Ovis aries: one gene and its partner. The protein of the gene in region 2 binds, or shares a complex with, the protein of the main gene of each other region. Links are inferred from orthologs where the notes say so. Each region holds a gene or a part of one and is shown on either strand. Other genes may lie near its edges.

What was found. Proteins that work in one complex are often made in the same cells at the same time.
Region 1: the proteins of MED23 (region 2) and MED24 are in contact, whole or in part, in a cryo-EM structure (PDB 7EMF), measured with the Homo sapiens proteins. The link is inferred for Ovis aries from reciprocal best matches to the Homo sapiens genes MED23 and MED24. Residues at the interface, in NP_004821.2 of Homo sapiens: Asn150, Thr151, Val152, Ser153, Ser154, Glu193, Gly194, Leu196, Pro197, Trp199, Leu201, Gly202, Asn203, Ser206, Asp207, Asp210, Arg213, Tyr258, Asp259, Lys260, Phe263, Ser1133, Arg1139, Ser1176, Glu1180, Glu1182, Trp1183, Val1184, Tyr1186, Arg1189; in NP_055630.2 of Homo sapiens: Lys238, Thr239, Leu280, Leu283, Lys287, Val291, Glu295, Cys336, Glu339, Phe340, Lys343, Leu344, Thr345, Pro346, Leu347, Asp349, Lys350, Gln353, Lys384, Glu720, Lys721, Trp723, Thr756, Arg757, Lys758, Glu759, His760, Met802, Asp803, Pro804.

What each region holds. Positions count from the first base shown.
Region 1 is NC_056064.1:40,098,299-40,101,951, forward strand, and holds part of MED24 (mediator of RNA polymerase II transcription subunit 24), read right to left. Parts: intron 938-3,653; coding exon 899-937; intron 547-898; coding exon 473-546; intron 108-472; coding exon 1-107. UniProt on the Homo sapiens protein: Component of the Mediator complex, a coactivator involved in the regulated transcription of nearly all RNA polymerase II-dependent genes.
Region 2 is NC_056061.1:57,041,148-57,044,800, forward strand, and holds part of MED23 (mediator of RNA polymerase II transcription subunit 23), read right to left. Parts: intron 3,388-3,653; coding exon 3,289-3,387; intron 2,509-3,288; coding exon 2,407-2,508; intron 1,955-2,406; coding exon 1,885-1,954; intron 720-1,884; coding exon 607-719; intron 1-606. UniProt on the Homo sapiens protein: Required for transcriptional activation subsequent to the assembly of the pre-initiation complex. Component of the Mediator complex, a coactivator involved in the regulated transcription of nearly all RNA polymerase II-dependent genes.

The DNA.
Region 1 (3,653 bases), on a different chromosome or scaffold from region 2:
CCTCCCGGAGCCGCTCTGCAGAGGCCGCAGTACAGCGCAGCAGCCAGTGGAGGGCGCTGAGCAGGGCCCGGCACAGCCCGATGCACTCCTCCGCTTTGCCGTGACAGCTACCAGGAAAGGATGCAAAATCTGTCTCCGCTCCAAAGGCTGAAATCCGACCCACACCCATGTTCCCCAGAGTGCCTGGCCCTCCCTTACTAGGGAAGAGACTTGGGAAGCTAGCAAAGTCCTGGGGAAGACTGCCCTGTCGGCTTCTACTGGATAAGATTTCAAATGAGCTACTCCAAATAGAGCAGAGGCATTTTAGCCCTAAGAGAATAAGTAGAAAAAGACGGGGATGGGTGGGTGCAGAAGAGCAAGGCGGGGACAAGTGTGGGAACCCACAGAGATGGTTTGAGCCTGCGTGCCAGGAGCTTCTCCTCTACACTCAGTTAATGCTGGAAGGTTGCAAGCCCCTCGCTCCTGCCGTTACCTCAGTCGGTCACAAAACATGTCCATGATATCCAGCAAAGCCTGGACACACAGGTCCCGGGAAAAGTCATCGAACTGTGGAGAGAACAAAGGCGATGCGATGGAGTGTCCCGCTCACCCCACCTCCCCGTCTCCCACATGAGGCAGCTGGCACCTTCAGGAGCCCTGCTCATCTTTCCTCCAACCCCAAGATTCACACTCGGCATCCTTTCAGTGTTGGAAATTGGCTCCTAGTTGCCAGCCCCCACTTGCCATGATCCCCCACTCTCTCATGGAAGGCGGCCATACCAGCCAGAGGTACGCTGTGCTCATGGTCCAGGCCCAGAGGTCACATGATCGGAGCAGTCAAGGAGGTGGGCCCCCATGTGTCACCACCGTATCTCTGTCCCCTGCCCCCCATCCAGGCTGTGAGTGGCTGTGGTCGTACCTTGCTGATAGCTGTGAGAACGGAGGAGTAGGACACCATCTGGAGGGAAAGAAGAAAGATAAAGTTCAGACAACCAGTGTGTGCAATCGAGAGGAACAAACATTGACACTTAGAGTTGCTGCAGCTATCTGAAAATCTCAACCCCTTCAAGAGGCCTTCAAGCCCCAAAGACAGGCAGTAACACCAGGCATTGTGCCCATCCTTGCTTCTGTCAAATTCACTGTGACTGACAGCACCAGCATAAATGGGGGGATCATTTGGGGATTCAAAGGGGCCGTGTTTCATGCCTGCCTGCCGCTCACTGTTCACCACATAGCACAAGGTCTGATTGCTGGTGGGCAGAAGAATGGAAACACGTGAGGTCGTGATACTGCTATAACTCCAACCAAGAGTGATTTTATTTGGACAAGAACTGGAGACATACAAACTGTTCCCTCAATGAACAGGTAGCATTTACACTTTGAAATTGGTAGTGGAAATTTCATTACACACACTCATTCTCTAGGATGCCTCTGGGACATCACCCAAAGCTGAAATCCTCCTCAGTGCTCTAAAGTCAAAGTGAAGTCGCTCAGTCGTGTCCGACTCTTTGCAACCCTGTGGACTGTAGCCCACCAAGCTCCCCTGTCCATGGGATTCTCCAGGCAAGAGTACTGGAGTGGGTTGCCATGTCCTTCTCCAGGGGATCTTCCCGACCCAGGGATCGAACCCAGGTCTCCCACAGTGCAGGCAGACGCTTTAACCTCTGGCTCTAAGCAATCCCCTTAGACCTGTCATGACACCATGGACACCTGATGCCCACCAAACTAGAAGCTCCTTGAGGACAGTCTGTGTGTCTTCATTCTACAGTGTCTGCAGAATGAAAGTAGAAACACACCCTCAGAGCAATATTTCCCAAAGTAGCTTCCAAAGCTGCACTGTCCAGTAGGGAAGCCACCAGCCAGCCACACTTGGCTGTTTAAATTAATTAAATAACATTACAGATGCAATTCCTTAGTCATACTAGCCTCATTCCAGGTGCTCATCAGCCACATGGGGCTAGTGGCTACTGTACTGGACAGTGCAGATATAGAACATTTTTTTTAGTATTTTTATTTATTTGGCTGCACTCGGTAGAATATTTTTATCATTGTAGAAAGTTCTATTGGCAGATGTTGCTCCAAAGGGTCCTCAAGATGTTAAGAAATTTTATACATGCACACACATACACAGAGCTTCTGTGTGATATGAGTTTGAGAAACTCTGAAATAAACATATACAAAGAGCTAGCTTTAAAGAAAAGGGTTCTTTCAGTAAAGAGCTTTCTTTATTGTAGGACTCCTCTTACCCATTAGTGTAACTTGTACACAATAAAAATCTCTAAGATCACTGGAGATGAGGCAAGCAATACTTTTCCAACTTATTTGACCAAGGTATCTCATTTAACAGAACTGCAAGGCATATTTTGCAAAATGCCACCTGAACAGTGAGCTCCCTGAGAATAGAAACGGTGTTAAATTTATGTTTCCCAAGAACTTAGCCCAAGGACTATCACAGAGTAGGTCCTCAGGAAGTTTTTATTGCTTTCGATTGACGAATTCTAGTAACTAGCATTCTAAAAAAACTTTTACCTTAACACAATTTTCTATTAGTAAAACCGACTTATCACCATTATAAGATCGGAGATGTAGTTCAAAAGAAATAATCTGGCCTGAATTAAACCAAACTTTACCAATAGCTTTTAAGTTGTTGTATTTTAAAAAAATAATTATAGCATGCTGATCAAATATGAATAAGACTACAGAAAATAGTTCCAACTCTACACTCAAAGTCAGTGGCAAAATATATCAAAATAAAAAGCAGAATACAATGATAGAAACTGTCAGGCTAATCACCTGCCTCATAGAAGAAGAGAAATTTCCAAAGATTTAAAAGAAAGCTAAGTCACCCTCAGTGACTCAGTATGGTGAATTTTACATGCTTGGCAATGCCTCCCATGTATAATTTCTCCATCACGTGAACAGGCTGCTCTCCGTTCAGACATTTTTTAACCAGTATTCTTGGATGAAGAGAAGCAAAACACACAGAAGACTTAAACACACAAATTACTGTTTAGTGCCACTCTCAGTGGGTCATGCTGTGAAGCCATAGTTGGTGTCTGACAGTGGCCAGAAAGTTGGGAGCCTGCCTGGGCAGGATGACTGTAACGTTCCAGGCGAGTGTTTGTTTATTTATAACTGATGTCCCCATAGCAAGAGCTTGGCAGTGAACTGAACCTTGCTGGATACCAACCTGAAGGGGGAGCTGGACATTCCCACTGGAAACTGACCCCAAACTACAAGAGGAAACCCCCAAATCTGTACGTTTAAGGGATGCCATCAGTTACTACCAATTTATGGTCTCCAAATTGAGAATTTTGTTCCGTAAATTTCTGCTAACAGTATCAAGAGAGCCCTGCTACTTCAGAGACCTAAAAATACTTTCCACATGGTGAACTGTTTTTCACAGCAGGACTTATAACCTATCCCAGTCCTAATATATCTACCAACACAGAAGCTCTAACCTACCACCAGCCCCCAAGGCTGGAGCCCATCTACAAGGCCCAGAGCACACCTGGCCGGCCCAGAGGGACCCTGCAGCTGCTCTCTAATCCCCTCTCTCTTCTTCATATTCAACGCCCTCAACTGCTCCTAAGTGCCCTCTACATGCAGAGATAGCACTGGACCAAAGAGCCTCTTGACTCTGAGGGGAGAATAAATCACTAATTTTGCACTGC
Region 2 (3,653 bases):
ATAAGTTTCCCAATCACTCTCTACATCATTTTTGACATGAAACATTTACAGAAAACTATTCGGCCCTCCCTATAACCTGCTCTGTCATTCCCTCCAAACCCCAAGATAGTAAGACAAATCTGCCATATGTGTTTCATCATAGCTTTATGTCTATATCTCATATTTCATATTATGGATATATGTGGATTTTTCTCCTTGAGAAATTTCTACTCTACTTTTGTCCTTCCCCACCTCTCCCCTTCTGAAAAAAATACAACCAATAAGGAGGCTCACTCTTCAAGTTTTAGGGACACTGCAAATTCATGTTTGGTCCTTGCTTTGTAAAGGAAGAGTGAAAACAAGGAATCAATTTAAAAATTCAATTTTCTAACACCAAGTACTTGGCCAGAAGTGGACCGCTGGAACATTAACACCTGCAATATCACAAACAACAGGCTAAACTTGGATCCTGAAATCATATGACAAAAACCATAGTTTATGGTTATAAACTATCTTTCATTGAATACTTACTTTTTCAGTCTATGAAGAGACAATTTAGCATCACACAATATATAATCTTGGATGAAGACTGATGGATCAAAAGCATCATTATATTGAACAACATACCTTATCATATGGCAAAAGGCCTTTCAAAGGAAAACGGAGAGTTGCAGGGTCCAATTTCCATGAATTACAAATGGCTCCTGAATTATTTACAACTGGTAGAAGGCTGCAACGGCCTGTAGGTATTACAAAAAATGCTTTCTAAATAAATGTGAACATAGCAATGCCTAGTCCTTCATTCACTCTACAAATAGTTAATGACTATCATGCTGAACCAGGCACTGGTTAAAAATATATTTTAATTAGCTAGAAGTCTGGGAATTTTCTTTGAATATTTTTAGCCCAGCTGGTTAAAGACCAATTTGTACAAAACTTCCAAACTCACAGATTTTGCATTTGTCCAGGGACAGAGTTCAGCAAGCTACAAGCCATGAACCAAATCCACCTGCTCTCGTTAAGTTTTACTGGAACGCTATTCCTTTTGCTCTCTAATGGCAGAGTTGAGTAGCTGTAAGAATGCATAGCCCACAATGCCAAAATATCTGTCGTGTCACCATTTATAGAAAAAGTTTACAGACCTTTAATCTCAGGTCAAACTAAGTAACTTTAAACAGGATGTTCCTAGAGGCCTTAGAAGTAGTATATGACCATTAGTCAGTTCATGTATCCAAATGCCTGATAAATACTGTCACTGGGATGTCCTGCAGGCACCTTAAGTTCAATATAACATAAACTAAATTCATCCTCACTCTTCTCAAATCTGCACCACTTTCCATAATTCATCAAATGATGTTAATATCCTCTCAGTTATGAAAGCTAAAAGCCTAAGAATTATCAGTCTAGTGTCCTTTTCATTTCTTTTTTGTATTTCCAGTGCCCAGAATAGCACTTGACTCACAGAAAGTGCTAAAACTTGGTCACTGATTAAATAAGGGTCTATAATCCCAGGCTGTTCTGAGGCTACCATGATTTCTATAAGTAATTCAGGAACATACATATGAGAACTGTAAAAACTGTAAATCATGTGATTATTTTTAAAAGGAAATTCAGAGACTTTAATAAACATGAAACAAGTGGAAAACAAAATAAATTATATACAGAGCAAAGGTGTGGCCTGGAATGGGCTGGGAGTCAGACAATGTGGTGTACTAAAGTCAGAGAGACAGATCTACTGAGACTTCTGGGTGCCTGGGGAGTAGAGTTTTATCTATAGAGTATAAAAGCTCCTAGGTTATACTAAAATGGCAAGTCACCACGACGTGTATAAGATTTCATCCGTCAACTTGGTTCAGTAGTCAGCTCACTAAAAAATATTTAAAACATTTTAAATTATAATCCTACCACAAATGGAGTTTATCCTTGCTGTTGGCCTGAAGGTATCCACAAAGTCTGATACCAGGTTTCCAAGTAACTAAAACAAAATAAAATGAAAACAAGTAAGTAGAAAAATAAAATCAAGATGCTCTGAATATGAGAATCATTTACATAAAATGAGATAATATATAAAGATTTAGTACAATTCCTGGCACATAAAACTACTCAAAGTTAGTCCTCTTTCACTTCCTCCTAAACAATTACTTACCAGTACATTTATCCCTGAATTAAGCCAGGTCATACCACCATGTCCTTAGCTATTTGATGAAGCTGTGTGTATTTTACGAAATGATATATATAAACTATCTCAACAGGACAGCAGAGAAATGAAAGAAATGCATCATAAAAAAAAAATATCACATATTATCTAAGGATCAAGTGACCATTAAAAAATAAAAAAAAAAAAAAATAAGCACACAAAAAATCAATTAATATAATAATTTTTAATACAAATTTCTATTTAAAAATTTAACAAAACATCAAATTTACCCAATGTGGAAGTTTTCCCTCAGGATATAGTTTCCTGATCTCTGTGACTGCAAAATATGCTGGTAGTAAACAAGCATTTCTTTCCAAGATATATGCTATAACCTAGGGGAAAAAAAAGGGGGCTATGTTATTATTTTGAATAGTCCCACAGATGTGCCCTTTAAATCCAACAACAATGATATTTAAAAAGTAGAGATATTATTTCATGCATTCAGTTGGCTTAAATATAGCATAAGAATTCATTTAAATGTGAATATCTAAAAATGAAGATTAATACAATGATTGCTGATAGTAAATAACAGACCAGATTCCTGATAGTAAGTAACATTGAACACGCATTAGATATTGGTAGACTTCCCTGTTGGATCAGGTGGTAAAGAATCCACCTGAAATGCAGGAGACCAAAGTTCGATCCCTGGGTCGGGAAGATTCCCTAGAGAAGAGAATGGTAACCCACTCCAGTATTCTTGCCTAGAGAATCCTATGGACAGGGGAGCCTGGCAGGTTATAGTCCATAGGGTCACAAAGAGTCAGAAACGACTGAGTGACTAACACCAACTGGAAGGCAACACACTAAACAATTCCTGCAACATTAGGTACAAAGCACAAAGATCTTTAAAGTGGCCCATAGGACAACATCTTATAATGGTTGTAGATATAATAATATCAATATTGTTGTTTTCATAATTAAAAACTATGAATTAAAATGTAAAATTTCCTTTTGAAATACAGTGGAAGTGAAATAATACCTTTAAAATATGATTTTTGTAGAAGTAAAGAAATGGAACATTTTATAAACTACTGTAAATTTTAAAAGCATGGAACTATAAAACTAGACATCTTTAGGAGATGATCAATGAATTGCAGGCAAGTTTAAATTACCTCTCTTGCTGCCAGAAGCTGCTGTACAACAGCTGAGCTCACTGTATTGGGAATTGTCAAGATTTTCTCCAAAATCACTTTTAACAGATCTCGAACACCCTGATACAACAAAAAGTCATAGATTAAATTTTTTTAAAGTCCTGGGTGCTGGTTAAAATGGCTAAAGCTTTCAAGATTATATACTTAGAAAAATATGTAACCCTCAAAGTCACACTTTTAATTTTTCTGAACCAAAGCTAACATTCAAACCCCTAACATTAACCCAAGAGAAGTGTCATGTTCCAAAGCAGAATTCTATCTAAAGAATGGCTTGCCATATGAATGAACAAAGGAAATCACTTATAGATAAAAATTAAACTTTCCAC